Elephas maximus indicus: one gene and its partners. Each later gene encodes a partner of the first gene's protein in a complex. Links are inferred from orthologs where the notes say so. Each region holds a gene or a part of one and is shown in the gene's direction. Other genes may lie near its edges.

Region 1 (10,137 bases):
TTATTTATGCCAAGTGTCCAGTGCAGGTTTGTGAGCAGGCTCTATTCCCCTGGATCCCTCGAGGAGCCGGTCTTATGAAAGCACCAATATTTTGTGATTATCTCAGCTCGTCACCTGATTTTAGGGTCCTTTCAGAGAAGGAGTGGGGTCTGAAAGCTTTCACCATCCATCACTACTTCCAACGCAATTCCACTTCTATTCACAGCCATTTGACAGCACAAGTAATATGGTTCTGTCCTAACTAGAAGGAAGGCTGGGGAGTGTATCAGAGCATGTCAACTATATGTCCCTGTCATGGGGCTTGTGAACTTACTATTGTCATATAGTACAAGGTTTGGAGCCATGGAACTCTTGACTGACCTTCATGATCAATGAAATGTATATTGTGTGAATTCAGACTGATAGAAAAGGGGAAATTGGAGACCATGTACAAGGAAAGTCTGAGCAAGTGGGACTACAGGCTCCCCTACCTGCTTTCTCACCAGAAATACTCAACTTCCTCATTCATAAAATGAAGATAGTATTTCCTGTCTCATAAGGTGCTGTGAAGATTAAATAAGATAATATATAGAGAGTGCCAAGTAAAGTGCCTGGTCTTTGATACATGTTTAAAAAAATACTATTTTCTCTTCTCTTGTTGAGGATAAGATAACACAACTCCTTTTATATCTACTATATACTATATATGCCTAAAGATACAGTAAATTTCCCCTAAATTATTACTCAGAACCAAGGGAGAGGCACTGTTATGGACTGAATTGTGTCCCCCCAAAATATGTGTATCAATTTTTCTAGGCCATGATTCTCAGTATTGTGTGATTGTCTACCATTTTGTCATCTGATGTGATTTTCCTATGTGTTGCAAATTCTACCTCTATGACGTTAATGAGGTGAGATAGGTGGCAGTTATGTTAATGAGGCAGGGTTCAATCTACAAGGTTGGTTTTTGTCTTGAGCCAATCTCTATTGAGATATAAAAGAGAGAAGTGAGCAGAGAGACCTCATACCACCAAAAAAGTAGCACCAGGAATTAAGTGCATCCTTTGGATCGGGGGTTCCTGCACAGAGAAGCTCCTAGTCCAGGGGAAGATTGATGAGAAGGATCTTCCTCCAGGGCCAACAGAGAGAAGGCCTTCCCCTGGAGCTGACGCCCTGAATTTGGACTTCTAGCCTGCTAGACTGGGAGAAAATAAATTTCTCTTTGTTAAAGCCATCCACTTGTGGTATTTCTGTTATGGTAGCACTAGGTAACTAAGACAGGCACTATTTTCAGGCGTTTATAAAGTCTTTCATATTACAGATGTCATTCTCATTACTTTATTTGGAACAAAACACATTACACTTGTCAAGATACTTTAGCTTGAAATGTATGCATTTAACACTGATTTTCATAGTCATGAAGGTCATCAGACAGAATTGAGTTTTTAAAAAGAGAAAAAGGAATTTAACACAGATTTAGTAATCATTTCTGGGTGGGCATGACCTTCCTGATGGAAGAAGTGAGTATCATTTTAGACAATCCTTTTAAAGATTACTTTAAAATCAAATTTAAACAAAGAGAAATGAAGCCCCAGTACATGCTACAACATGTGAACCTTGAAAACATTATGCTAAGTAAAAGAAGCCAGGCGTAAATAACCACATGTGTGATTCCATTCATACGTCCAAAATAGGCAAATCTACCGAGACAGAAATGGTTGCCTAGAGATAGGGGTTTAGGGGGATTGGGAAGTAACTGCTAGTGGTTATGGGGTTTCTTTGGAGGATGATTAAAATGTTCTAAAATTGATTGTGGTCACTGTTGCACAACTCCGTGAATATACTAAAAGCCATTGAATGGGTGAATTGTTTGATATGTGGTTTATAGCTCAACAAACCCACACAGAGGCTCCATGGGAGAAAGACCTGGAGATCTGCTTCTGTAAAAATTACAGTGAAAGAAAAAAAAAATCCTATGGGGCAGTTCTACTCTGTCACATGGGGTCACTATGAGTCAGAATCGACAGCACTCAACAACAAAAACAAGGTTGTTACAAAGAAACATAATTGCCATGTAAATATTACACATGAAGAAAGAAAGAAAAACTATGCAAATAGGTATTGATGGTTTGGATAAAATTTACAGCGACAGCATCATGTATCCAAAGAGTTTTGAATCTCAAACAAATTAGATAGGAACGGTGTCAATGTGCTTAGACGGGAATGAAGTATTTCTTAGGCAACTCAAAAGTTAATCTAGAGAGGGCCAAAAACTAACATCAAAGAGGCGCATGGTGAATTAAATAAAGTTGTTTCATGAAATGCAATAGTAGGAAAAAAATCAATAATCCTAAATCGATATATAATTTTATATAATATTGTTTCTAAAATATATATGTGTATAGCAATTAATAACATAAATGTTGTAAGTAGACATTGGACCATGTCATCAGCATCCCTAAAACTTTTTAAATCAGATTGACCACAAATTTTGAGGGAATCTTCACATTAGAAAAATGAAAATTCAATTGAGAGTGGTAGCAATTAAAATCCTAAAGTTACGTAGAATGAGGGGAAGCCCTAACTGTAGGGAAGAACCCTGGGAGTCTTATTGGCCACATGGTTTACCCCAGAACATGAGATTCAGGCCACACCCAGTTCAAGCCTGACCCGTAGGGAACATTTCTTGAAGGCAGATAGTGCTTTATTACAAAGTCTAGGAGAGGACACAACATAAATTGACATCTTTAAAGCCAGTTGTTCAAAAATTATCAGATGTATGAATACCATTCATAAGATATTAAACTGCTCAATGGTGAAATTGTTCAAATGAAGACTGGACGACCAAAAATCTGCCAGGAATTTGGCTGTTCCATGTTTTCAAACTGTGGGCTGCAACACGTTGCTGTTGTCGTTGTGTGCTGTAGAGCTGATTCCGACTCATAGCAACCCTATAGGACAGAGCAGAGCTGCCCATGGGGTTTCCAAGGCTATAATCTACAGGAGCAGATTACCAGGTCTTTTCTCCTGCAGAGTGGCTGGTGCGTTTGAACAGCCGACATTTTGGTTAGCAGCTGAGCACTTAAACGTTGCACCACTAGGGCTTCTTGCAACAGATTAGTAAGATATGAAATCAATTTAGAGGGTACACAACCGGCATCGGTCTATATCACATATTTTATATTATATGTTATATATTGTTGTTGTTATTGTTAGCTGCTGTAGACTTGGTGACCCTGGGCACAGATGGAATGAAATGCTGTCCAGTGCTGTCCCACCTCCATGATCGGTTGTGGATCGGACCATTGTGATCCATAGAATTTTCATTGGCTTATTTTCAGAGGTGAATTGCCAGATCTTTCTTCCTAGTCCATCTTAGTCTGGAAGCTCTCCTGAAATATGTTCAGCACCAGAGCAACATGCAAGCCTCCACTGACAGGGGGGTGATGGCTGCATATGAAGTGTGTTGGCCAGGAACAGAATCCAGGCCTTCCACATGGGTGGCAAGAATTCTACCACTTTACCACCAATGTCTTCATATGTTATATATTAGATTAGAACCCAATAGAACAGAAAAAAAAAAAAAAGAATAAAATTGAAACTATCAGTACATAGTATCTGTAGTAAGGGTAAGTAATGTTTCCTGAAAACTATGTTTTAAATGTATATGTATGTGTGTGCGCACACACTCGGTTGTGGTATAAAACTTACTTCTTAAAATGATTTGCAGTTTAAGAAAGCTTGAAACACAATGCTGCAGAAGGAGCCATGCAGTGGATGGTAGGCTGGGTGTGGCGTCCCCTAAGGTCCCATCCAATTCTTGGTTGATGATCCCAGAATTCTCAGCACTAAAGAAGAAAAAAACGTTAGACTCTTCCAAGACTGAGGAGGTGGTGTGCCAGTCAGTATTACTGAAACACACACACTTGAGAAACAAGTCCCCCACAATTCAGTAATTGTAAACATATTGCATGACAGTGTTCTCAGCTCCAGGGAGAAGTCACAGGAGAAGCAAAAGCCAGAAATTCCCCTGTTGTTGGAATGGAGAGAATTTCAGTGCTTTAATTCACAAATCCAATGAGTAAGTGGTCAGCCTATTTAAATTTCTGGGAGGAGCCTGGCAGCGCAGTGGTTAAGAGCTTGGCTGCTAACTGAAACCCACCAGTGTTCAGTGGTTTGAACCCACCAGCCGAAACACGTGGCATACGCGTCTGTAAAGATTGACAGCCTTGGAAACCCTATGGGGCAGTTCTACTCTGTCCTATGGGGTTACTATAAGTCAGAAACCAACTCAAAACAGCAACAAGTTTTTTTTTTTTTTTTTAATTTAAATTTTTAGACAGAAAAAGTTTATAATCAGTAAACTTCTTACAGGCCCTCTTTTGTGTTAATAAAATTCTCAGTAGTAGGTCTCTTACCACTGATAATATTTTCAACAAGTCGTTGGTGCCAACTCTGGGACTACAGAGCAGAATACAACTGGAGGCGTAAGTACGATCTAACCGCAGAACACTGGAACAGCTCTTCAAAATTCCAAAACAAGTTTTAAAATACAAGTTCGGCTTTTTTTCCTCTTAAAGGATGAAGTGACGCTCCTTGGCAAGAAGCACCGTAAGTAGTATGTGATTATAAACATATTTCGCTTCTTTGGAATAGAATGACTGAAACTAAAACAATCTGGTAAACTTGTTAAATCTGCAAGTGTTCAACTCACAGAGGCAAAGGTTTACCTTAGAAATAAATTAATATTTATTGAGCACGAACTGTATGCCAGGCATAGTGGTAAGTGCTGTGGTTTAGTTGAAAAATCTCTCTGATATATTCCCACTATGTAAGTCTCAAGGATGGACAATTTAATCATGGAAATGGGTTGTACCCAAATAACAAAAACAGAGGGCTGATCATGGTAAATGTTTCATCTTTCCTGGGTCAAAAACTTTTTCGGATGTGAAGAAAGCCAGATTCCCTAACCAGAAAAATGCACATATACCCACACATTGTTACATTTGCTTACAATTTAATTCTACGTGTGGCTTTCGGGTTCTGAACGTTGGCTTTAAGAGAAGTTCACTTAAAATCCTTTGGAAGAGGAAAGATTGAATTCGCAATTGCTGTTAACTGCCATCAGTCAGCTCAGACTCAGGGCGACCTTTTGTATAACAGAACAAAACGTTGCCTATTCTGGTGCCATCTTCCTGATTATTGGTATGTTTGGATCCATTGTTGTGGCTATTGGTGCCAATCCATGTCTTTGAGGATTTCCTTCATTTTCACTGGCCCTCTACTTTACCAAACATAATTCCTTGTCTAGTGACTGGTCTTTTCTGATGTGGCTAAAGTAAGAATTCACAGTAGAAGCCCTCTTATCCCACCTGTTCTTCATCAACTGGCTGGCTTATCCAGAATTCTCCATTCTCTTTTTAAAATATACCAAATGATGCCCAAGGCAGCTGTATACTTCCAGCTCATAGGCTGCTTTTCATATGAACTTCTACTCCTGACATCTGAGTGTTACACTGACCAGGGGTCAGTACTGTTTGCCCCCAACCCCAATTTACACTTGCAATTATGTAAACTGCTTAGTAGAATATAAACTAAGGTAAAACAAGTATGAGCTCTATGGTAGGCAGAATGATGGCCCCTAAAGGTGCCCCACATCCTAATCCCCAGAACTGGTGAATATGTTAGGTTACATGGCAAAGAGAAATTAAGGTTGCAGATGGCGTTAAGGTTCCTAATCAGGAGACGGAAGCCCTGGTGGCGCAGTGGTTAAGAGCTATATCTGCTAACCAAAAGGTCAACAGTTTGAATCCACCATGTGCTCCTTGGAAACCCTATGGGGCAATTCTACTCTGTCCTATAGGGTCACTATGAGTTGGAATCGACTTGACAGCAACAAGTTTGGTTTTAATCATGAGACATTAAAATAAAAAGATTGTCCTGGATTATCCAGGTGGGCCCAATATAATCACCAGAAAAAGAAAAACTAGTTCTGTAGAGTCAATTCTTACTAATAGCAACCCTACATGAGTCAGAGTAGAATGGTACTTCATAAGGCTTTCATGGCTGTGAGCTTTTGGGAGCAGATTGCCAGGACTTTCCTCTGAGATGCCCCTGGGTAGGTTCATATCTCCAATCTTTTGGTTAGTAGCCAAGGGCTTAGCTCTTTGCACCACCCAGAAACTCCATGTGTAAACACAAGGCTCCTTAAAAGTGGAAAAGGCTGGCAGAAGTTAGGAACCAGAAAGACAGCAGCATGAGAAGGACTCCACCTGACTTTGTGGGCTTTGAAGATGGGAAAATGGAGTCACATGCCAAGGAAAGCTGACAGCAAGGAAGTGGGTGCTCCCCTAGAGCCTCCAGAAAGGAACATGGCCCTGCTGACATCTTGATTTCAGCCATGGGACCTGTGCTGGATTTCTAACCTATGGAAGTGTAACATCATATATTTGAGTTCCTTTAAAATCACTAAATTTGTGGTGATTTGTCACAAGAGCGATAGAAAACTCATACAAGCCCCAAGATATTTTTTTTCTGTAAGAACTTTGCCAAGACTTGATAACAAATTGAGTCAATGAATTGTTATTGTTTACTGCCATGTTTGTCAAGTGAGCAAGACCCACTTTAAAATACGGGGGGTGGGGGAGTGGGTGTTCATAACCCTAAAACGGTGCCTTCACTAAAACTGCTTCACCAGCATCTAGAATCTGTCATCACCCGTCTGTCAGTTTTTCATACTGTGGTAGTTTGTACGTTGCTATGATGGTAAAAACCATACCAATAGTATTTCAAGTACCTATGGTGAATGGGTTTCCGTGAGCTTCCAGACTAAGACAGACTAGAAATAAAGGCCGGGAGATCTACTTTTGAAAATTAGCCAATGAACACATTTTGGATCACAGCAGAATATTGTCTGATATAGTGCTGGAAGATAAGCCCCTAGCTTGAAAGACATACAAAATACACAGTGGCCACAACAAGGGATTCACACATACCAGTGAAGATGGCACAGAATTGGACAGCATTTCATTCGGTTGAAGATGGGATCACCATGAGTCAGAGCTGACCTGAAGGCAGCTAAAAACAACCACATGTCAAGTGGTCAAGAACCACTTTAAAATACTGGGGATAAGGAGGGTGGAGGGATCTTATAAAATTTAAGAAGATGCCCTTACTAAATTTTTTTTACTAGCATCTAGAGACTAAAGGAACAAGACTGGAAATCAACCACGGTGCATAACAGGTGCAATTTATCCAAGAAGCCAAAGTCTGCTGTATTTAGAGGACCAAAAAAGGTCTTAGCCCTACGCAACAAGACTGATGAATAAATGCATATATTTACATGTTTTAGATAAATAATAAGTAATTAGGGGACAGATAGATTTCTTGTGTGATTTCTTATACTAGCAGACTTTATTTGCTTAAACAACCACCTATCCATCTTGATCACATTGGCTAACAGGACTTTCTTCTACCATGTTTTCTCATCTGGACAACTCAAACGTGAGGAAACCATGGTATCTTCATAGGATCATACAATCCAAACTATCAATGGGCTGAGCTGAATTGGCGTGTGTCTCTTTGGGGACACTTTATGATTCTATCGATTTAACAGTTACTTCTGTGTTTTCTGTGTTACCTGCACTGTGCCTGGGAATTTGCTAAGCACCAAGAGGTCCAACAAAAAATATGTGTATGTATATATATAATATATATATAGTTGTTGTTGTTGTTGTTATGCGCCATCAAGTTGGCTCCAACTCTGTGTTACCTGCACTGTGCCTGGGAATTTGCTAAGCACCAAGAGGTCCAACAAAAAATATGTGTATGTATATATATAATATATATATAGTTGTTGTTGTTGTTGTTATGCGCCATCAAGTTGGCTCCAACTCTAGCAACCCTGTAGGACAGAGTAGAACTGCCCCATAGGGTATCTAAGGAGCAGCTGGTGAATATGAACTGCCGACTTTTTTGTTACAGCCAAGCTCTTAACCAATACACCACTAGGGCTACATATATAGAGAGAGAGAAAGACAGAGACAGAGAGAGGCAGAGAAGTACAAAATAGTAATATGCCTTCTTAAATTATACACACCTGTGGTTTTGATAAAAATTAAAATTAGATAACTTTGAAAAGAGAACACAATTTTGGAATAGAACAGCTCTAAGTTTGAAACCCTGGTGGCATAGTGGTTAAGTGCTACAGCTACTACTCAAAAGGTTGGCAGTTTGAATCCACCAGGCGCTCCTTGGAAACTCTACGGGGGCAGTTCTACTCTGTCCTATAGGGTCGCTATGAGTTGGAATCGACTCAACAGCAATGGGTTTTAAGTTTGAAATTTGGTTATCCCCTTTACTAGCTGTGTGAGCATGAGTAAGTCACATAATGTTCCCGAGCCTTTGATTATTTTCATCTGTAAACTAGAGAATAATAGTATCTACTTCACAGGCATTTGACTGTGTGGATCATAACAAATTTTGGAGGACATTGCGAAGAATGGGAATTCTAGAATACTTAATTGTGCTCATGAGCAACCTGTACACGGATCAAGAGGCAGTCCTTCCAACAGAACAAGGAGATGCTGAGTGGTTTAAATTCAGGAAAGGTGTGCAACAGGGTTGTATCCCTTCACCATACCTATTCAATCTATATGCTGAGCAAATAATTTGAGAAATTAGACTATATGAAGAAAAACGGGGCATCAAGACTGGAGGAAGATTCATTAACAACCTGCATTATGCAGATGACACAACCTTGCTTGCTGAAAGTGAAGAGGACTTGAAACACTTACTGATAAAAATCAAAGACCACAGCCTTCAGTGTGGATTGTTCCTCAACATAAAGAAAACAAAAATCCTTACAACTGGACCAGAAAGCAACATCATGATAAACAGAGAAAAGAGTGAAGTTGTCAAGGGTTTCATTTTACTTGGGTCCACAATCAACACTCATGGAAGCAGCAGTCAAGAACTCAAAGGATGCATTGCATTGGGCGAATCTGCTGCAAAAGACCTCTTTAAAGTGTTGAAAAGCCAAGATGTCACCTTGAGGACTATGCCATGATGTTTTCTATTGGATCACTGGCATGGAAAAGCTGGACGATGAATAAGGAAGACTGAAGAAGAATTGATGCCTTTGAATTGTGGAGTTAGTGGAGAATACTGAATATACCATGGACTGCCAAGAGAACGAACAAATGTGTCTTGGAAGAAGTACAACCGGAATGCTCCTTAGAAGCAAGAAGGTTGAGACTGTGTCTCACATACTTTGGACAACTTTTCAGGAGGGATCAGTCCCTGGAGAAGGACATCATGCTTGGTAAAGTAGACGGTCAGCAAAAAAGAGGAAGACTGTCAACAAGATGGATTGACACAGTGGCTGCAACAATGGGATCAAGCACAGCAACAATTGTGAGAATGGTGCAGAACTGGGCAGTGTTTCGAAAGCGACAACAGCAACTTCACAGGAAATTAAGGAAGGTAAAAATATAGTAATGGGGAGGAAATTGCTGAAACCAAAAATGGCTGTAGGCAGAAAAAAATTGTAGCCAGTTTTGCCTTCTAAGGTGCAGTCAAAGTGAGAAGTGGGGAAACAAAGGAACACAATTTACATTACAAAAAAAAGAAGGTTGCCATGGAGTTAATCTCAACTCCTGGCAACTCAATGTGTTACAGAGTAGAACTGCTCCATAAGGTTTTCTTGACTATAATCTTTTATGGAAGCAGATTGCCAGGCATTTCTTCTGCAGTGCCACAGGGTGGGTTCAAATCACCAATCTAGGGCTTAGTAGTCAGTGCAAACCATTTGTGCCACCTAGGGACCCCAACTTAGATTAAAAAAAAACCAAGGCCATTGCCATTGAGATGATTCTGACTTAGAGCAACACTATAAGACAGAGTACAACTACCGCATAGAGTTTCCAAGGAGCAGCTGGTAGATTTGAACTGCCAGCCTTTTAGTTAGCAGCCAAGCTTTTAACCACTGTACCGTCAGGGCTCTAAGTCTTATATGGGGCAGCTTCTTTTACAGCACCTATCTTGGTGGAAGGAGACATAGAGGAATACAGAAAGATACAGAATAGACAGCTTTTCGTTTACCAAAGCCTTTTAATAAGTTGTGGTAGGCAGTGTGTTTTATTCAGCTCCCTACACTTT
Region 2 (10,137 bases), on another chromosome or scaffold:
CCTAACAACAACAACAAATAGTAAAATCTGCAAAAGGCAGAGACTGTGTAAGGCAGGAACTTGTCAGAGAAGGAAAACTCAAATATTTTCCACTAAAATGAGCGATAGAAAAGAGGCAAGACTGCTCTGTGTCAAAGGCGGAAAACTTGCAAGACCCGGACAAACAAGGCAGTCCTGTTGAGTTCCGACTCTCACAGGTTTCACTGTATATATATATCCTACAAATCTATAAGAAAAGGACAACTTAGCAGAAAAGTAGGCAAAAGACTTGAACAGACATGTCACAAAAGAGGAAATCCAAGGGAACAATGCACATATTAAAAAAGTGCTCAGTTTCTTAAGTAATCAGGGAAATGCAAATTGAAACCACAGTGCAATACCAATACCACACCCACCAGAATGGCTAAAATGAAAAAGAAAAATAATACCAAGTGTTGGCGAGGATGTGAAGGAGAAGGAACTCTCAGACACCACTGGTAGGCGTGAAAATTGGCTTGATGACTTGGATGACTGTTTAGTATAGCTGAACATATCCTATGACCCAGAAATTCCACTCCAGCCAGATGTGAACATATGTCCACCAAAAGAAGATGAATTCCCGTCACCAGTAGGATGGATAAATAAATACTGGCATCATCACACAATGAAACTACACAGCAATGACAGTGCGAGATCCAGAGCTACACGCAACGGCATGGGTGAATGTTGAGCAAAATGTTGAGCAAAAGACAGAAGACACAAAAGAGTACATACTGTATGGCTTCACTTATATAAACTACAAAAAACAGGCAAAACACACCCATGTTGTTAGAAATCCAGTTCGTGGCCACCCTTGGAGACATCCTGGAAGAGGCACAAGGGGAATTCTGGGGGTGGCTGGTCATATTCTTTTCTTAAGCTGAGTTCTGGTGACCAGGCATGTTCAGTTTGTGAAAATTAATCAAGCCGTTCAGTTATGACTTTTTCATTTTTCTGTACATATGTTCCACTTTTAGAAAGGCAAATCTTTACACACTGATATGGATACATGTTCAAGATATATCACTGAGTGTAAAAGGGTAGGTGTAAAACAATACGTAAGATATGCCAGTTCATTAAAGTAACAATAAAATCATCAACAACAACACACATTTTAACGCTTTCACTGTTCTAAATTTATTACATATGGGTACTAGTTATCTATTGCTGCACAACACATCCACACCCCTCTCCCCCCAAATTTGTAGGCTTAAAACAAGAAACATTTATTATCTCACAGATTTTCTGTAGGTCAGGAACCTGGCAACAGCTTAGCTGGGTGGTTTTTACCTCAGGGTCTGTCATGAAGTTACAGTCAAGATGTTGGACAGGGCTACAGTCATCTGTGGAAACCCTGATGGTGTAGTGGTTAAGAGCTACAGCTGCTAACCAAAAGGTCGGCAGTTCGAATCCACCAGGCACGCCTTGGAAACTCTACGCGGCAGTTCTTCTCTGTCCTATAGGGTCACTATGAGTCAGAATCGACTCGACAGCAGTGGGTATGGGTATAGTCATCTGCAGACTTGATTAGGGCTGGAAGATCTGCTTCCAAGATGGGTCAGTCACATAGTGTTAGTTGTTGGCAGGAGCCCTGCGTTCTTTCCTATTTAGGTCTGTCCACCAGCTGATTTACTGTCCTCGTGACATAGTGGCTGACTTCCCTCAGAGTAAGTGGTTCAAGAGAGAGAGCAAGGAGTGTTATGGATTGAATTGTGTCCCCCTCCCCGCCAATGTGTGTGTTGAAATCCTAACCTGTGGCACATTTGATCATGACCTTGTTTGAAATAGGGTCTTAGAAAATGTTATCAGTCAATATGAGGTGGTTCCAGAGTAGGGTAGATCCTAATCCCACCTGAGTGGTGTCCTTTTGAAAGAGAAGAGACACCATCTGACCCTGCAGCTGCAAGTCAAGGAATGCCTGAGGCTGCCAGAAGCCAGGAGAGAGGCGGGGAACAGAAGCTTCAGAAGGAATCCACACAGCTGACACCCTGATCTTGAATTCCCAGCCTCCAGAATGTGAGACAATAAATTTCTGTCGTTCAAAAGCCACCCACTTAGCGATATTTTGTTACAACAACCCTAGGAAATAATGCAAGGAGGAAGCCTCGATTCCTTTTATGATATAGTCTTGTTAGTCACACTCCAATATTTCTACCATGTGCTGTTGGTTAGAAGGAAATCACCAAGGCCAGCCCACACTCAAGGGAGGGGAATTAGAATCCACCTAATGAAGGGAGGAGTGTCAGAGAATCTGTGGACGTACTTTAAAACAGTTTCATACATTAACTCATTAAGTCTTCATAATACCTCAGTGCAGTGAGTACTATCATTCATTCCGATGTTACAGATGAGGAAACTGAGGTACAGAGAGGTTAAAAGTCACACAGAAGAGACAGAGCCAAGACAAATCCAGGAAGTTAACTTGTGGGGTCCATTTTCTTTCTTTCTTTCTTTTTAAATTGTGTTTTAAGTGAAAGTTTACAATTTGAGTCAGTTTCTCATACAAAAACTTATACACACATTGTTATGTGACCCTGGTTGCTCTCCCTACAATGTGACAGCACACTCCTCTCCACCCTTTATTTCCCGTGTCCATTCAACCAGCTCCTGTCCCCTTCTGCCTTTTCATCTCACTTCTAGGCAGGAGCTGCCCATTTAGTGAGTGAGGTAATTGGTGGTAGCTGGCTGCAATCTAGGTCTTCTGGTCTCAGGCTGGTTGAGTCTCTGGTTTATGTGGCCCTTTCTGTCCCTTGGGCTCATATTTTCGTTATGTCTTTGATGTTCTTCATTCTCCTTTGCTCCAGGTGGGTTGGGACCAATCAGTGCATCTGAGATGGCCCCTTGCTAGCTTTTAAATGGGGTCCATTTTCTTAATCACTAATGTTAATCCAGGAGTCTCTGGGTAGTGCAAACAGTTAATTTGCTCAGCTGATAATTGAAAGGTTGGTGGTGGTGCCATGGAAGAAAGGCCGGGAGATCTACTTCCAAAAAACAAGCCATTGAAAATTCTATGGAGCACAGTTCTATTCTGATACACATGGGGTTGTCATGAGTCAAAACTGACTGAATGATAAGTAGTTTACTGGTAGTATTAACCAGTGGGGAAAAAAACAGTTGAAAAAAACTAAGGAACACTGACAGGACTTGATGGCCACTTCGGTAGAGAAGTGATAGAGCCTAGGATGACACCCATGCACAACTTTCACACTCCTTAGGTATCAGGCGATCTGTTGCTATGAAAAAAAAAAAATTTTTTTTTTTTTTTTTTGCTATGAGTCAGAATCAACTCCCAGGCAACTGGTTTGGTTGGTTTATTTTGGTATTCAAGAAAGGCAGGATAGCAGAAAAGTTAATAACCTAAGTTAGGGACAGAGTCAGAGAGATCTATGATCAATTTGGCTTAAAGCAAGTAGTTTTTCTTCGTTTTAAATGGGGCTGATATTACCTACCCCGTAGGCTGTATGTAAGGATTGAAGGAGATAATAAATGTAAAAGAGTCAGTACCAGCTGGCACAGAGAAAGTGATCAATAAGTGGTGCTATTAAATATGTATCTATTAATATTACTCTATTGAATTATTTTATTTATATAAATTTTATTCTATTGGAATGTCCTTCCTCCATAATTTTGAGTTGGTGACTCAGAAGACTCCCTGTTTTGCTAAAAGTGGGAAATAAGTTCTCACTGGACTCCTGATTTGGGCTGAAGGAACAAGGGACTGAGGTTCAGCTGGAGTTAGAAATAGAGTGGGAAACGCATTGCTCAGGAACTCAGGTTGTGTGAGTACTTTTGACTCTGGTCCACTCTCCATGCACCCATTATATGGATTAGATAACTGAGACCTATAGATGGGCCTCCATGTGCCTATCAGTTTGTTGTACTGTGTTTTGTGTGTTGCTGTGATACTGGAAGCTTTGGCATCGAATACCAGCAGAGGCACCCTTGGTGGACAGGTTTCAGCTAAGCTTCCAGACTAAGACAGACTAGGAAGAAGAACCTGACAGTCTAATTCTGAAAAAATTGGCTAGTGAAAACCTTCTGAATAGCAGTGAAACACTGATAATAATGCCAAAGAGGATCCCCTCAGGTTGGAAGCCACTCAAAATACAATGGGGGAAGGGCTGCCTCAAAGTACAGTCGACCTTAATGAGGTGGATGGAGTCAAGCTTCCCAGGGACCTTCATTTGCTTATGCCGCACAACTCAAAATGAGAAGAAACAGCTGCAAATATCCATTAATAACTGGAACGTGGAATGTACAAAGCATGAATCTAAAAAAACTGTAAGTCATAAAAAATGAAATGAGCAGGACAACTTACTGGAAGAGCTAAATCTTCAAAAACGAGATTTTCTGCAGATAAAGGGGGATTCTACAGGTTCGCTATGAATGGAATCCACTTGAGGGTCAACGGTTTGGTTTTTGCATTTTCAGTTCCTCACTTTCATTCCCTCCCCCCACCCCCTGCTCAGAATCAGGAATCAGGGTGAAAAACTGTGCAGTATTTCTGAGAAGGAAATTGTATTTCTCAGTCCTTCGTGGACCTGGGTCGCTATGACTCGTAATCTACTCCACGGCAATGGGTTTGTTTTTTTGTTTTAAGGGGACTGGGGAAATTTAAAAACAGACCAAGAACCCTCTCTGAATGTGGAAGGATTATTTCCAATTATGAGACGGGAGGATGCACACAGTGTAAGGGGAGGGACTTCCCCATGGCCTTGGGTCGTCTCTGATTTGTGGTCTTTATGGATTTGTTTGTTTTATAAAGAGGGTCTGGGAGAAAGAGTTGGCGCTCAAAGAAACCCAGCCACACTCAAGATGGTAGCTGCTCGGCCACGCCCCCAATGGCGGAACCTCACGCTGGCGGAGAAGCGCTGCTTTCCCGAACGGGAGCTAAAAAAAAAAACAGGCGGAGAAAACGTCCGTCACAGGCCCGCCCCGCCCCCGAGAACAGCTAGGGCCAATTAGCGGCGCGCAGGACGGGAGCTAGGCCAGGGGTGGAGGCTGCTGTTGCCGTAGCAACAACTAGGGATCCCGGAGGCGGGCACGGCCGTGGAGAGATCGGCCTCTACAGATTTCTCGCTGCCGGGAAGGTCCTGGGAGAGGCGGGAGCCAGGCCTGGGAAGTCGGCGCCCGCGGAGAGAGGGACAGGTCAGACTCAGGAATTACGATACCCTGTGCTGCTTTCGTCGCTATGGGTCGGCATCGACTGGACGGCAGTGGGTTTGGCTTTATGGTTTTTAACCGTTAGGGGTGTTAAAGTCGCAATAAGGCATGCGTTGTCTTGAGGGGGCGCGGCTAAGGCACTTACGACGCATGCGCATCATGGAGCTTCGGGCCGGGCTGACGCTAGGAGGCGGGGCTCTTGCCCTTGTGTGCGGAGCCAGAGACCCCTGGGCGGGACTTTTCGGTGGACTGATACCAAACCAAACGAAACCACTTGCGTTAGGGTAGTTTCCGACTCTTAGGTACCCTCTAGGACAGAGTAGAGCTGCCCCATAGGGTTTCCAAGAAGCGACTAGTAGATTCAAACTGCCAATCTTTTGGTTAGCAGCCGAGCTCTTAGCACCAGGGCTCCGTGGGCTGAGCCAAAAAAACCAAGCCCATTGCAGTTGAGTCCATTCCGACTCATAGCGACCCTATAGCCCGGAGTAGAACTGCCCCACAGGGTTTCCAAGAAGCGCCTGGTGGATTGGAACTGCCGACCTTTTGGTTAGAAGCCGAGCTCTTAACCAATGCCCAGCAGGGTTTCCGTGGACTGAGCCAGAGGTACCCAAAACAAAATCAAACCTGTAGCTGTGGACACATTCCGACTCACAGAGACCCTATAGGACAGAGTAGAACTGCCCCGCCCCGTAGTGTTTCCAAAGCTGTCATCTTTACGGAAGGAGATGCCACGTCTTTCTCCCGTGGTGTGGCTGGTGGGTTCAAACCCCGACCTTTCAGTTAGCAGCTGAGCTCTTAACCACTGTGCCGCCAGGGCTCCTTGAGGTGGAGGTATCTTGGGGTGGGGCAGAGTTAGACGCCAGCTATTGCACCCAGCAGTCCTGTTTTTCCCGGGTTCTCCTGGGAAGACAGGGTAGTGGTTAAGAGCACAGCCTCAGGGGTTTGACGAACCTATCTTGGAATCCTGATGCTGCCATTTACTCTGTGGGTCTTAGTTTCCCTACCTATCAGATGGAGCAAATAATATCTCACAGGGCTGTGATTATACTTTTCCTTTCCCAGGGCGATGGCTGAGGTGCACGTAATTGGACAAATCATGGGGGCCACCGGTTTCTCAGAAAGTAGCCTCTTCTGCAAGTGGGGCATCCACACAGGTATTCCTGGGCCTGGTTTGTTCCCCCCCCCCCCCCCCGCCAAGTCCCTGTGCCCAGAGGCTCCGTGCTCTCTACTTGCCCCCTGACCCAGGTTCTGATCCTTACCTTCCGTCCGCCGTCAGAAATCAGCTGTCCACAGGAGCCTTAGGCTCACTTCATATTCTGCCGTGGGGGCTCTGGCTCCCACCCTAATGAACACGCAGCTTCTAAGCATATGGGACTATAGGCTAGGACCCCTCTCCTGCCAATTCTCAAAACTCTAGGTAGCCCAGACCCCCCCCCCCCCGCCCCGCTTTGGACTTCACTAACTGTCTTAGGGATGCTCTGGGACTCTCCACAGTCTTAATAATAATTCTTTGGTTAACAGTCTCTGTGTATTGAGTTCGTACTGTATAGTGGAAGTTTCTGTGCCCGATTTACAAAGGCAGCCCATTCTCTGGTATTCACAGTCCTCTTTGAGAAGGTAGGAACTGGCAGCCATCCATATCCTTTCATGCAGGTTTAGAGGGGTACCCCCAAAGCCCCCAGTTTTCATGCCTCCCCATCTGAGGCAGTATGCATAGTGGTTAGGACCACAGGCCACCAAATCTGGGTTCGAAGACTAACTCCACCTATTAATTGGAGGCCTTTGGGCCTGAACTCTCTGAGTATCTGTTTCCTTGTCTGAAAATGTGACTAAATAGCAGCTGAGAGGCAGCACAGTGTCAAGATTAAGAGCACAACCGCCTGGGCACAAAACCAGCTGTTGCACTTCTCTTTGCTTTGATTTCTGTACCTGAACAATGGGAATAATTTTACCTCATGGGATTGTTGGGAGGACTAACTTTATATCAGCAGCACTTAGAGCAGGGTCCAGTGGGTAGTAAGTGTTCAGTAAGTGTTTGTCTGGCTCTTGTAAGACTTCGATGGGGTCTCGTTTGTAAAGCCTGGTGTGTGTTGCCTGGCCCATGAAATAGGTATGGCTTTTGCTGTCAGCATCCCTTCAGGCTCTGGGTCATTTGTGATTTCACTGGTAGGCGGGGTGGTGATTCAGATTCCCTGGGGAATTGATATCCTCCAGCTGAGTGGTTAAGGGGCAGGTTCTAGAGTCAGACTGGGTTTCCAGTCTGGGCCCTACCACTCAACTGCCCTGGGACCCTGGGCAGGTGCTGTCACCTCAGTTTCCTCATCTATGTGTTGTTAGGTTCTGTCGAGTCAGTTCCAACTCATAGCGACCCTTTGTATAACAGAATGAAACACTGCCCACCTCTGCACCATCGTCACAATCATTGCCATGCTCGAGCCCATTGTTGCAGCCACTGTGTGAAACCATCTATATCCCTGCTGCCATCATGTCGATTCCGACTCATAGCAACCCTATAGGGCAGAGTAGAACTGCCCCAGAGAGTTTCCAAGGAGCGCCTGGCAGATTCGAACTGCTGACCTTTTTGGTTAGCAGCCGTAGCACTTAACCACTATGCCACCAGGGTTTCCACCATCCATCCTTCATAGGGTTTTTTGGAAATCTTGTATGTGAAGAGCCTGGCTCAGGGCCTGATGCTTCATTCTCTCAGTCTTGTGGGAAAGTGGCTAACATGGTTTTTATTAGTTCAGGGAGGGAGTTGTAGGGGCACGGGGATTGGTCCAGCAGAGAGCTCAGAGGTAGTCTGATTGGGCTCCGCAGTCAAACAGTCAGTGCTGAGCTTGAATCCAGCTCTGCTGTGGGGTCTCGGTCTGACCCAAGTGCCTGGCACACAGTAGGCACTCAGTGAATCTTGGTGGAATGAATGACCAAGTGATTTTCTTTGGCAGAGCTTATTCTTTTACTTCTTAGATCACTCATTTGTCTGACAAGTATTTACTGAGTGCCTTCTGTATACCAAGCATTGGGTTTGAGGTTCTGGAGATACAGCAGTGCACAAGTGCCCTGCTTTCCTGAGGCTCCCAGTAGGGGACACAGAAAATAAATAAGCAGACAGGTGAGCACAGTGATTTTAGTTAGTGGTTGGTGCCAGGAAGAAAAGAGACAGGAGGAGGTGATGGGGACTAATTTTTGGATCGGAGTGTCAGGGCAAGCCCCTCTGTGGATGGATGAAAAAGAGCCACCCACAGGGAGCTCCAGGAGCAGAGCTTTCTAGGCAGAGGGAATGGCAAGTGCAAAGGCCCTGAGTTGGGAATGAGCTCGGCCAACACTGGGGAACAGAAATGGGACCAGTGAGGCTGTGGGGGTGAGGAAGGGGGAGAGTGATGGAGATGAGGGCAGGAAGGTGGGCACGCAGGCCATGCAGAGCCTTAGGCACCGGGTGAGTGTCTGAGCTGGGGGGGTTGGGCTGGGCAGGGTGGGATTAAGAGTGCTAGAGTCAGATTACATTCATTACCTAAAGGGATCAGCACAGCATCTGGCATGTAGTAAGCACTCAGAGCATTTTGCTGTTACTATGCACCCTTCACGGCACACCCAGCTGTGGAGAATACTCTTGGCCTCATCTTAGTCCTTGATCTAGGCTTCTAAATATGGAGTGGGAGTAGTAATAAAATGATATTTTATCCAGCACTCACTATGCCCTAGGCACTGTTTTAAGTGCTTTGTATGTATTAGCTTAATCTCAAAAACTATGAGGAACACATTATTTTTACACTCATTTTACAGATGGGAAGACAGAGGCATAGAAATGTAACTTACCAAAGGTCACAAAGGCAGGAAGAGGTAGTGCCAGGATTTGAACCCAGGCATTTGACTCCAGAGTCTGTGTTTTATAACCCCTGCCCCCAAATGTTAGGGAGAAACGGGGTCCTACAGCCACAGTGGCATCACCCCACTGCCGCATCTCAGTGTCCTGGCTCTCCCCACAGGGGCTGCATGGAAGCTACTGTCAGGCGTGCGGGAGGGCCAAACGCAGGTGGACACCCCCCAAGTGGGGGACATGGCCTACTGGTCCCACCCCATCGACTTGCACTTTGCCACTAAAGGCCTTCAAGGTAGGTTCCAGGCATGGGCCCTGGGCCAGGCTGAGGGGAGGGGGGCTGATAGCACCCTAGCTGCTGGGATGAGAATATCAAGTCTCTGCCCTCTGCCCTTATACCTTTTTCGGTCCCTTTCCCAGCCCAGCCTGGCCCCGGAGAGGCTGAGCTGAAGCATCCCAGGTGGGCTGTAAGGGAATCCCAAGTATGAGGGGCTGGGGCGGAGGCCCGGGGTGGAAGGGGAGGTGGGAAGGTAGGGACCAGGGTGGGAAGGGAGATGGCCTCTAAGTAAAGACAGAGGGAGACAGTCTGCAATAGGGAGCAATCTGGGATGGGGTTTATGAGGGAGAGAGAGACACAGAGGTGAGGGCTTGCTGCTGCTTTTCAGGGAGGGCCCCTTAGCTTGAGAGCAGAGGCTCAGGGGGAGATGAGTGCAGGGGAGGAGGGGTATCAGAAAGCACTTTCTGGGAGAGAGTTTGGGGTATTGCAGAGGAGCAGATTCCAGGCTTGGGAAATAACCAAAAACCAAACCCACTGCCATCCAGGTGATTCCGACTCATGGCGACCCTATAGGACACAGTAGAACTGCCCCATAGGGTTTCCAAGGCTGTAAATCTTTATGGTAGCAGACTGCCACATCTTTCTCCTGCGGAGCAGCTAGTGAGTTTGAACCACTGACCTGTTGGTAAGCAGCTGAGCGCTTTAACCACTGTGCCATCAGGGCTCCCTATATTAGATGATGCCAGGAAGATACCAGTGACTGAGATACCCACAGCCCTGTTCTCAGGGGCCCTACCATCCAGTGGAGGAGACAGACCTGTCCCCACACAGTGACAGCCCAAGTGGACAGGGCTGGGGTGGG
Region 3 (10,137 bases), on another chromosome or scaffold:
ATCCTCGTCATCACTCTTCCCCTGGACTAGGAGCTTCTCACCAGGAACCCTGGGTCCAAAAGATGGGCTCTGCTCCCAGTGCTGCTTTCTTGGTGGTATGAGGTCCCCCACTCTCTGCTCACTTCTCTTTCCACTTATCTCTTGTAAGATATAAGGTGATGCAAGCCTAACCCCAGGGAAACTCCCTTTACATTGGATCAGGGATGCAACTGAGTAAGGATGTTACATTCTACTCTAAACCTCTTTAGCATAACACAGTCTTGCCTCATTAACCACAGGCAGAGATTAGCTTTTACAACACACAGGAAAATTACATCAATCATGAAATGGAGGACAACCATACAATACTAGGAATCATGACCTAACCACATTGACACATATTTTGCGGGGGCGCACAATTCAATGCATAACATAAAGATCTAATGGAAAATAAGGACCATGTCTTTTCATCAGAATTAAAAGCTGGAGATCTTTGTAACACCTCTTGAAAGATTAAACCCATTACCACCACCTCCTAGTACCCTCAGGAACTGATTTCTTTTGTCACTTCTCTTCCTTAAAGAGATGAAGTCAAAAAGACAAAATAATAGTTTCATGATTCTCGACACTATTATAAAGCATCTTTGTAAGTTATTTATTCTCAACCCTGACATAATAAACCAATGAAAGAAGTAAAGTAAGTATCTAGTTCAACGTTAGCAAACTACAGCTGATTTAGGAGATAATATTGGAGCTGTTATTACCTGTCTTAGAATGTGACCCAGCTGGAGTAGACTCACAAGGACTCACAAGGACACATTAACTGGTCCCTGAGGTATAAAGATGTTAGAAGACTCTTGGAAAATATCTTTTAGGGAAACTTTCACATAAACGTATCATAAAACAGAACACAGAGGAGTTTTCGTTCTTCTTCTGTTAGCATTTAGTGAATAGAAAATTTGTTGGACCAATGAAGACCCTCCTGACCGTCCTTACTGAAACCTGTGCCAAGGATTGTTAAGAAAGACAATTCAAAATATAGGGTAACAGTTTCTAGCTAATCTGTGAAAAGGTGAAGCTTTCAATGGTTTTGCCCGTTTGTAATGTTAATATATACTGATGACTCTAATATTCTCGGGACCTGGCAGACATTGCTCTAGAAGCAAGCTCGTCCATTTTCCCATTCTTGCCTATTCTGTAATATTTCCCTGGACTCGGGCAGACATGGCTGTGGCAGCATGTTTGTCTTTTTTCCCGCTTTTGCTTATTCTGTAATATTTCCTTGGACTCGGGCAGACAGCATGCTTGTCCGTTTCCCACTTTTGTCTCTTTGAACATATGCCGAATAAAACTTTCTTTTTGCTTTACTAAACTTTGTGATGTTTTTACCCTAGAACACGGCTCACAGACAAAATCTGGCCTGGTGCCTGTTTTTGTATAGCCCACAAGCTTAAGAATTTAAAAAAACATTTAAATGATTTAAAAAAATTAGTAACATTTTGTGACACATGAAAATTATATGAAATTTACATTTCAATGTTCATAAATATATTGGAACATGGCCACGCATTTGTTTACATATTGTCTATGACTGCTTTCACGCTACAATCACATAGTTGAGCAGTTGCACCTGAGACTGTAGACACGCAAAGCTTAAAATATTTTCTAGTTGGCCCTTTACAGAAAATGTTTGCCAAACTCTGATCTAGATAATCAACCACAAAACTCACCTTGGTCTCATTCCCCTGATTAAAAAGAAGAGTATTATTTATTTTCGGTTTTGTTTTCACTTTGACCGTTGTCTTTGTTCTCCACCTCACAGGATGTGTGCATGTAAACTTTAAATGTTTCATCAATCCTTCTTGTGAACTGTTATTTACAATAAACAAAAATAATTTTTAAAAATCCTTCTGCCATGTCCAAAACACTGGTTAGAAAAAAAAAAAATTCATTTAAGGAGTAAACCAATGGCTAGCAAAGCTTGTAACCAATATTTAAAAAGAGGTAGCAAAGTACACCAGAGAGCACGGTTTTTAATTCTCCCGGAACCCAGATTTCTAGGGTGCATGTAAGACAGGGAGCAAAGGCCCTGAGATCAGAGCGTGCCTGTTTGAAAAATAGCAAAGAGACTGGTGTGGTTAGAGGCGAAACAAGTAAAAGAAATAGACTATACGATAAGGGAGGTAATAGGAGGTTAAGTGTGGAACCCAGAGACTTAGCAAGAAGACAAGGAACAGAGGGGCCCCCAAATCTGCAAACAAAGTAACAGGAAATAGGCCAGGGCACAGAAACAAAAGCTATTCCCTAGAACAGTGGGGCAGGGTATTTTAAAATAGCCCACAAACTTCTTTAAAGTTGCCTTTCAGAAGCAGCTGGAGAAAACCAAGCCCAGAGACTTGAGCAGAACATGCACCTGTGACCACTGTGTGACCTTCCACCAGGGACAGTGAGGAGCTACAGCCTAGCTGGGAAATCGAACCCAGGGAATGAGAGAGACTGTGCAGGTGTGACACCCCATAATAAGTCCTGCTACAATCCCAGAGGCCTCCTGGACAGGAGCCATCTTGGAAAGCTACTGCACGTGCACCTTAGTTAATATATATCCGCCTGTGCCTATGAATAAACATGAATCTTTTCCCACCGAAGAACTTTTTAAAAACTCGGGCCTGTCCTTTGTTCTGTAAGAGGAGGGTCAGCATTGCCCTAGGCCCTCCTCATCTCTCTTTGCAGGCCTCTTCAATAAAGCTTTGCTCCTGTGGAAAACTACGTGCCTTACCTGCTCATTCTTGACCAGTGAGAGGCAGGAACCTTATTCTGGTAACACATGGAGTTGGGGTGACCACACCCATGCCATTGCTCTGATGTGATCTTTTGAATCTTCAGCCTTGAACAAACTGGTCTCCTAGAAGTCACCTTTAAGCCAAATAGTCTTGCCAATTAGTAAAGACCATTTTGCCTTGGAGGTTGAGCTCTTTTGAGAGTTCAGTTTCCATAAATAGAAGCTCCAAGGTGGATCTGGAAGCTGTGTTTTAGGGTAAATTGTTATTATGAAAACACTGTTCTGGTCATTTCCATGACAGTGTCCATAAGATGGGATATAACTATCTTTGGAAGTTCTGTTCTCGTTGGAAACAGTTTGACTATCAGAAGTGTTGCCTGATTTACAAATCATATTATATTAAATAAAACCATTAAAAAATGGTTTTGGGTTTATATTAAATAAACTTGAAATCAATTTCTATTATTGGCTTAATATGATCTTTGTTTTAACATAATAATTATCCTTTATTCCTCGAAGAGTGTGGGATTTCTGTCTTTCTGTTTCTGTGTCTGGCTGTTGAGTGGAAGGCACGGAAAATTTGGAGACAAAAGAACGTGGCTTTGGTCTTAACCCAGGACCAGATCCAGGACCGCAGCCACATTTACGTCCTGTGCGTTTTCCTCCAACGCAAAGTGTGCTCTGAGTGGTTGCACTTTAGTATAAACCACATTGGGGCTTAAACAGATGGCTCATAACGAAGTATTTTTTGTCATCCTTTATGAAAATGCTATTTTACACAAATGTTAACACAGACGGTTAATTAAAATTTTGGTACATGGAAACATCCTATTTCCACTCAGCCTTAGAAAGAACGCCACAGTTAAAGCGAAGTCGACCATCCACCAAAAGCACCGCCTGCCGTTAGCCCCACCCCTAACAGATCACTGCCTCCTTGCTATTGGTTCGTTTCACCCCTCGGTTGCCATGGAGACCAAGAATATGGCAACCGGGAGAAGCCAAACTTATTCCTCCCTTTCGAATCTCCGCGAGGTCGCAGCGTGCTGCGGACCCCCGCACGTCGTTCATGGCGCTCTACGAGCTCTTCTCTCACCCTGCCGAGCGCAGCTACCGCGCTGGGCTCTGCTCCAAGGCCGCGCTGTTTCTGCTGCTGGCCGCCGCACTCACATACGTCCCCCCGCTGCTAGTGGCCTTTCGGAGCCACGGTAAGCCAGCCCCCAAGCGCTGCGCAACACGGCTCCCCGCGCCTGGGCAAGCCGCCCTGACCTCCTCTCCGCCCTCTTTACCTCAGGGTTTTGGCTAAAGCGGAGCAGCTACGAAGAGCAGCCGACCGTGCGCTTCCAGCACCAGGTACTGCTTGTGGCCTTGCTGGGACCGGAGCGCGGCGGGTTCCTTGCCTGGAGCACGTTCCCCGCCTTCAACCGGCTGCAGGGGGACCACCTGCGCGTCCCGCTCGTTTCGGTGCGTGTTTTCCGCCCCTGCCCTGCGGCCCACCCCGAGTGGGCGGGAGGTGAGGGTAGGGGCGACGGGGGACGAGCAACCCCTGGCCGAGGAGAGCCCAGCTTGGGTCTTAAGGGTCCGCGAATACTTGTTTACACAGGCTCGTGGGCCTGAGCTTACGTTTAATTTCCAGGCGAGTAGATAGATAATGTTTCGTTTTGATTCTCCAGGAGGTCCACGACCGCTGGAAAAGTTTGTCATTGCTTTCAGGGAACTTTGGGGCCAGAAGCCTGCCAACAGTCTGTCTCTAGATCTCCTTACTTCTGTGGACCTGGCCTGATGGAGGGGTGGCCGTGACAGTGCCTTTGTATTAATGACCCCATCCTGTCGCTGTAATTGCACATCGTAACACCGTAGCCGCAGAAAGATCAGGTATTTGCCCAGGCGCTGATTGGTTAAGCGACCATCCCAGCGAGTGCTGCTGGCTAAGTCACACCTTCCTAGGCTGCACCATCCAGCACTATCTGCACGAAAAGAAGCATTTACTGTCTGTAAAGTAGTACAAAGGTGCCTTGGTTGCGCAGTGGTTAGAGCGCTCAGCTGCCCGCCAGAAGGTCAGTGTTTGGAATCCACCAGCGCTCCGCAGAAGATGCTGGCAGTCTGCTTCCATAAAGAGTTACATTCAGCCTCGGAAACCCCATGGGGGCAGTTCCACTCACCAAACAGGTTGCCTTGAGTCAGAATCAACGGGATGGCAATGTAACACAGGTAGTCCCGGACTTAGAATGGGGTTCCATTCCTATGAAGTCAGTTCTGACATAAGTCGAATACTTAATTTTTTTCCCAATTATTATTGCCTTTTATTATCTGTATCTTTATAAATCTGATCTTTATTTATCTTTTGGGATTGGCATGAGAATGATAACATCGGCAAATTACGCTACTGCAGCATTGTATGTAGTACGTTTACTAATGGGTGAGATATACGAAAAAAAGAAAGAAAGAAAAGGATGGTAAGTGTGGTTCCTCCTAGCTGGAATACATTGTAAACTGGGGAGTACCTGTATTTGGTTCAGAATAAGTGAGCGCTTCCTTTGCAGTCAACCCTTTCCACTCATCTTCTGAGAACATCTTCCTTTAGATGTGTGAAACTTCTGGTCTTCCCTTTTCGAAAGCTGAATCTCTGGACACCTCTGAAATAAGAGCCTAGGAGCTATAAAAAAAAAAAAAAATACTTGTTTTAATTTGCTGACAAAAAAAAATTCAGACTTTTTTCCAGCAATTCAATAAGATGAAATTAAAGAAAAAAGTCTTGTCATATGAATAACTATAAACAAAATATAGTTCTGTTTGTCTTTTTTTGTGGTTACTTTATAAATTTTTCTCACATTTTCTTCTGATTTCAAAAATGCTTGCCCATTGTAAAATATTATAAAGGAGTTACAGGTATAACCTGACAGAAAATGAAAGGCTCAGTTTGGTATGTGTATCAGTACTTGTTGATCAACCTTATTCCTTTTAAGTTCTGCAAATTATTTCGTTATATGGAAAAACTATAATGTATTTAGCCAGTTCCCTGTTGATGGATATTTGATTTGCTTGCAATTTTTCACTGTAAGAGTCAGTACTGCAAAGAACAAGATTTAGAATACCTCTTACATCTTTAAATGCCAAATCGTGAGGAATTGGAATAGAAGCTGTTTGTTGAAATTGAGAAAAGTACATAGAAAATTAAATAAGCAAATACAATAATTATTAACTTCGGGGAAATAAAAAGTAAGAAAAGTGAGGAAGGGAAAAGTAATTAGAGTTATGAACAGTGTTCTACCAGAAAAACCAACGAAACCCATTCTTCTCAAAGAGACCCTGTAGGACAGAGTAGAGCTGCCCCACAGGGTTTCCAAGGCTGTAATCTTTCAGAAGCAGACTGCCACATCTTTGTCCTGCAGAGCAGCTGGTGGGTTTAAACTGCCAACCTTTTGCTTTACAGCTGAGCACTTAACCACCATGCCACCAGGGCTCCTGAACAGGGTTTACAGCATCATAATTATATTGACTAACCAAAATAACAGTTTAACTGAGAAAGGTATGGGTATGTGGTGGGGCTGGTAGAAGTGGGATAGGGGAACGAAAAAGCTAAGTCTTTACCTTTCCTTGTGGAAAGTCAATAGAGAATGCCTAAAACTGAGAAATGGAGAAGTACTAATGGCAAATGTTATTTATAGACATGGAGATGTGTTTCTAAATAATCAGATAAATGAGATCAAAGATTTGCCTTTGGTGGGATAGGTGGAAGTCTGCTTTTTTAAAATTGTTTTTAAAAATAAGACTGGATTAGGAGAAATTTCTTTGAATAGCTCCTCATAATCATGACATATTGCCGGTTTTTATTATTTGAGATTATAATACCTCTGGAGAAGCGTGACCGTGGATGAGGGGTCAGTGTCGAGATAGACTTACTTTTCACTGTATACCTACTGTATTTCTTGCTTTCCATGTGCATGTATTTCTTTCCCAAAAGTGGAAACATTTTCTTTTTTTCAAACACGCAAAAGTTAATTTACTAGTTTCACTTTAAGTTTTTTTGTTTACATTTATTTGTTGGGAGTCTCTGGGTGGTATAAATGGTTAAAGTAAAGCGTAGCGTCCACCCAGAGGCTCCTGAGAAGAAAGGTCTGGCAATCTACTTCTGAAAAATCAGTCACTGAAAACCATACAGTGCGCAGCTCTGCTCTGACACACGTAGGGTGGCCTTGAGTTGGAACAGACTCGGCAACAACTGGTTTTTATCATACCGTTCTGGTTATTTAAGTCTAAAAAATAATCATGAAGTCTTAAAATATTACAGAGATACAGCACTAGGTTTCATACATTTGTTCTTTTTACTCTGCATTAGCCACCCTCCATGAAAGGTTTTATGAAAGGTTGGTTTCCCAGTTGCACTGCTGGTTAGCTTCTTATCTATGTCACCAGAAGCCATTCTCTTAAGAGCACTGTCATCCTCCTGCTCCTAGTGTTTGTGGATTCCCATTTTCATCTACAGAGCCAAGACTCTTATTTTTTTGATGCCTAGAACTGGATAATTTTATACTGTTGATAAAACACAAAACCCAAGCTTTTTTTTCGTAGTCTTTTTTTTCTTCATTATAGGCCAGTGTCTACAAGTAATTTATGACCTACCAATCTGTAGTCCATTTTAATAAATAATTTGCTTCCATCCTGACAGCTCTTGGTGTAGCTTCAAATTATGAGATAAAAAAAAAAAAGACATCAGAAGATATAATAGAAATAAAGACTTTAACAGCAGCAATCCAAAAGATGAAATAGGAATAAATTTAACAGGGAATGTATAAAATCTATATGAATATAGATTAAAAGGCTGCTGAGGGACACACACACGAAAAATAAAAACACAACATGTTCATAGGAAGGAGAATTCAACATTATAAAGATGTCTGTTCTCCCTAAATCAGTCAATAATTTTAATGCAATCCCAATAAAAACAGAAAGGAATTTTTTTGGGGGGGGAGGGAGAAACAGACATACTGAAAAATAAGCAAAAATAGCCAGAAAATTCTGAGAGAAAGGATACTACAGGGTTAGCTCTAGTTGTTAGGTGCTGTCGAGTCCATTCCGACTCATAGCGACCTTATGCGCAACAGAACGAAACACTGCTCAGCCCAGCGCCATCCTCACAATTGTTGATATGCTTGAGCCTATCATTGTAGCCATGTGTCAGTCCATCTTATTGAGGGTCTTCCTCTCTTTTGGTGTCCCTCTACTTTACCAAGCATTGTATCTTTCTCCATGGACTGGTCCCTCCTGAAAACATGTCCAAAGTAGGTGAGATGAAGTCTTGCCATCCTTCTAAGGATCGTTCGGCTGTACTTCTTTCAAGACAGATTTGTTCGTTCTTCTGGTAGTCTATGGTACGTTCAGTTTTCTTTGCTCACACCGTAATTCAAAGGCATCAACTCTTCCATCTTCCTTATTCATTGTCCAGCTTTCTTGTGCATTCAAGGCGATTGAAAATACCATGGCTTGGGTGAGGCGCACCTTAGGCCTCAAAGTGACGTCTTTGCTTTTTAACACTTTAGCTAAAAAAATTTTTTTTTTTTTTAGCTCTACTAGGTATTAAATTGTACCATTAAGCTGTATTAAATAAAACAATGTGATTTGGGGACAGATATAAAAAGTATGAAAAGGTGGCATTTTAAATCAGTGGGGAAAGATGGCTTATACAATAAAATCATGTTGGGCTAACAGGGAGGCCATCTGGAAAAAACAAATGTAGAGTTAGTCCGCATACTGACTCTGAGAGAACTGAGCGAGAGAGGGGTATTGTTTATACTGCTAACCCTTATTGCAACAAAATACTTGTGTTTTCTAATTCTAAACATAAAGCCGGACAGACTACAGCCTGTCCAGGAAGCTCTGCTCAGGAAGCCGAGGAAACAGTGGTTTTAGATCAAGGTTAGGAGGTGGATTTGCAATTGTTAATTTGGGAAAATGCTTCAGAAATTGGAAATGACCTTGCTTCTGTTTTGGTCAGCTCACCTTGAACAGCATCCCCAGAGCCCCTGTTTTTAATGTTTTAAAAGTCTAGTTTTTGTTATTATTTATTTGTAATTTATCTTGTTGAGAATATACACTGTAAAACATACACCATGTACAAGTTAGTGACATTGATTACATACTTGGAGTTGTGCAACCATTCTCACCTTCCTTTTCTGAGTTTTTCCTCTGTTGTTAACAAAAACTCATTGCCTCCTAAGGCTCCTAATTTTTTGAGTTTCTCTTGTCACTTTAATCCCATATAGATAATTCTTAAAAGAGCATACTGTGTTTTTATGCAAATAATGCACACCTCCTAAGTTTGTTTGCTCACCGCTACCCCCACAATGTATTTTCAAAATCTATGCCGATTTTTTTTTTCCATGTTGCTGTAAGTAAATTAGAGTGCTGATGACCTATGTGACAAATTAGAACTACCCTACAGGGTTTTTCTAGGCTGTACGGAAGCGGATAGCCAGGTCTTTCTTCCACGGATCTGAACATTTAACTGAGTTAGCAGCTGAGTGTTTAACTGTTGCACCACCAGTGCTCCTCTTTCTAAGCCTAAAAGCCCTTTATTTATTTTTTTTTTTTGTGGTACTTATTACTGCCTGATGTTGTATATTTGTTTTCTACCTCCCTGGTTAGAATATAAGCTCCATGAGGGTATGGACTTTGTCTATTTTGTTTATCATTTATATTCCCAGCACCTGAAACAGTGCCTGGCACATAGTACCCATTGCATCCAGTTGATTCCAACTCATAGCAACCCCTGGACGTTATTAAGCCCTCAAAAAATAACTTGATAGATTAATAAATGACTTCAGCCAGTGTTTCTCTTAGTAATGGTGCTGTGCCAGATCTCTCTGCTCTGTCAACTTGGAGCATAAGTGTATAGACAGGCAGGTATACAGACTGAAATTTGTTGATACTGCCTTTTTGCAAAAAGACTTGTCCTTCCCAACCAAATGTCTTTGCTCTGGCGTTTGTATGTGTTTTTAAGTCTTGGAATTTTAGAGTGTGGTGTCCTGAAAAGGACCAGTTTGAAGTCAAAGGCCTTATTTCAAATCCTGCTTTTACTGTATATTAACAGTACTTCTGCAGAGTTCCCTTGTGTTAGTTTTCTAGGGCTTCTGTAACAAAAATACCACAAACTGGCTGCTTTAAAGACCACAAATTTATTTTCCACACTTTGGAGTCTAAAAGTCCTAGTCAGGGTATCAACTGTGTTGATTCCTTCTGAGAGCTCTGAGAGAACTATTCCATGCCCCTCTCCTAGCTTCTGGTGGTTCCCAGTAATCCTTGGGTTCCTTGACTTGTAGATGCATCTTCAAGTAGTATCTTTCTCATGTGTCCACTTCCTCTTTTATAAGGACAGGATTCAT

What was found.
Region 2: CC2D2A (region 1) and B9D2 share a complex: the UniProt entries of both Homo sapiens proteins name them as parts of the tectonic-like complex. The link is inferred for Elephas maximus indicus from reciprocal best matches to the Homo sapiens genes CC2D2A and B9D2.
Region 3: CC2D2A (region 1) and TMEM231 share a complex: the UniProt entries of both Homo sapiens proteins name them as parts of the tectonic-like complex. The link is inferred for Elephas maximus indicus from reciprocal best matches to the Homo sapiens genes CC2D2A and TMEM231.

The regions. Positions count from the first base shown.
Region 1 is NC_064823.1:150,138,082-150,148,218, reverse strand, and holds the start of CC2D2A (coiled-coil and C2 domain-containing protein 2A), read left to right. Parts: upstream 1-4,427; 5' UTR 4,428-4,466; intron 4,467-4,559; 5' UTR 4,560-4,590; intron 4,591-10,137. UniProt on the Homo sapiens protein: Component of the tectonic-like complex, a complex localized at the transition zone of primary cilia and acting as a barrier that prevents diffusion of transmembrane proteins between the cilia and plasma membranes.
Region 2 is NC_064829.1:109,826,987-109,837,123, forward strand, and holds the start of B9D2 (B9 domain-containing protein 2), read left to right. Parts: upstream 1-5,023; 5' UTR 5,024-5,234; intron 5,235-6,243; 5' UTR 6,244-6,247; coding exon 6,248-6,335; intron 6,336-9,167; coding exon 9,168-9,293; intron 9,294-10,137. UniProt on the Homo sapiens protein: Component of the tectonic-like complex, a complex localized at the transition zone of primary cilia and acting as a barrier that prevents diffusion of transmembrane proteins between the cilia and plasma membranes.
Region 3 is NC_064839.1:41,211,122-41,221,258, reverse strand, and holds the start of TMEM231 (transmembrane protein 231), read left to right. Parts: upstream 1-3,731; 5' UTR 3,732-3,824; coding exon 3,825-3,963; intron 3,964-4,049; coding exon 4,050-4,219; intron 4,220-10,137. UniProt on the Homo sapiens protein: Transmembrane component of the tectonic-like complex, a complex localized at the transition zone of primary cilia and acting as a barrier that prevents diffusion of transmembrane proteins between the cilia and plasma membranes.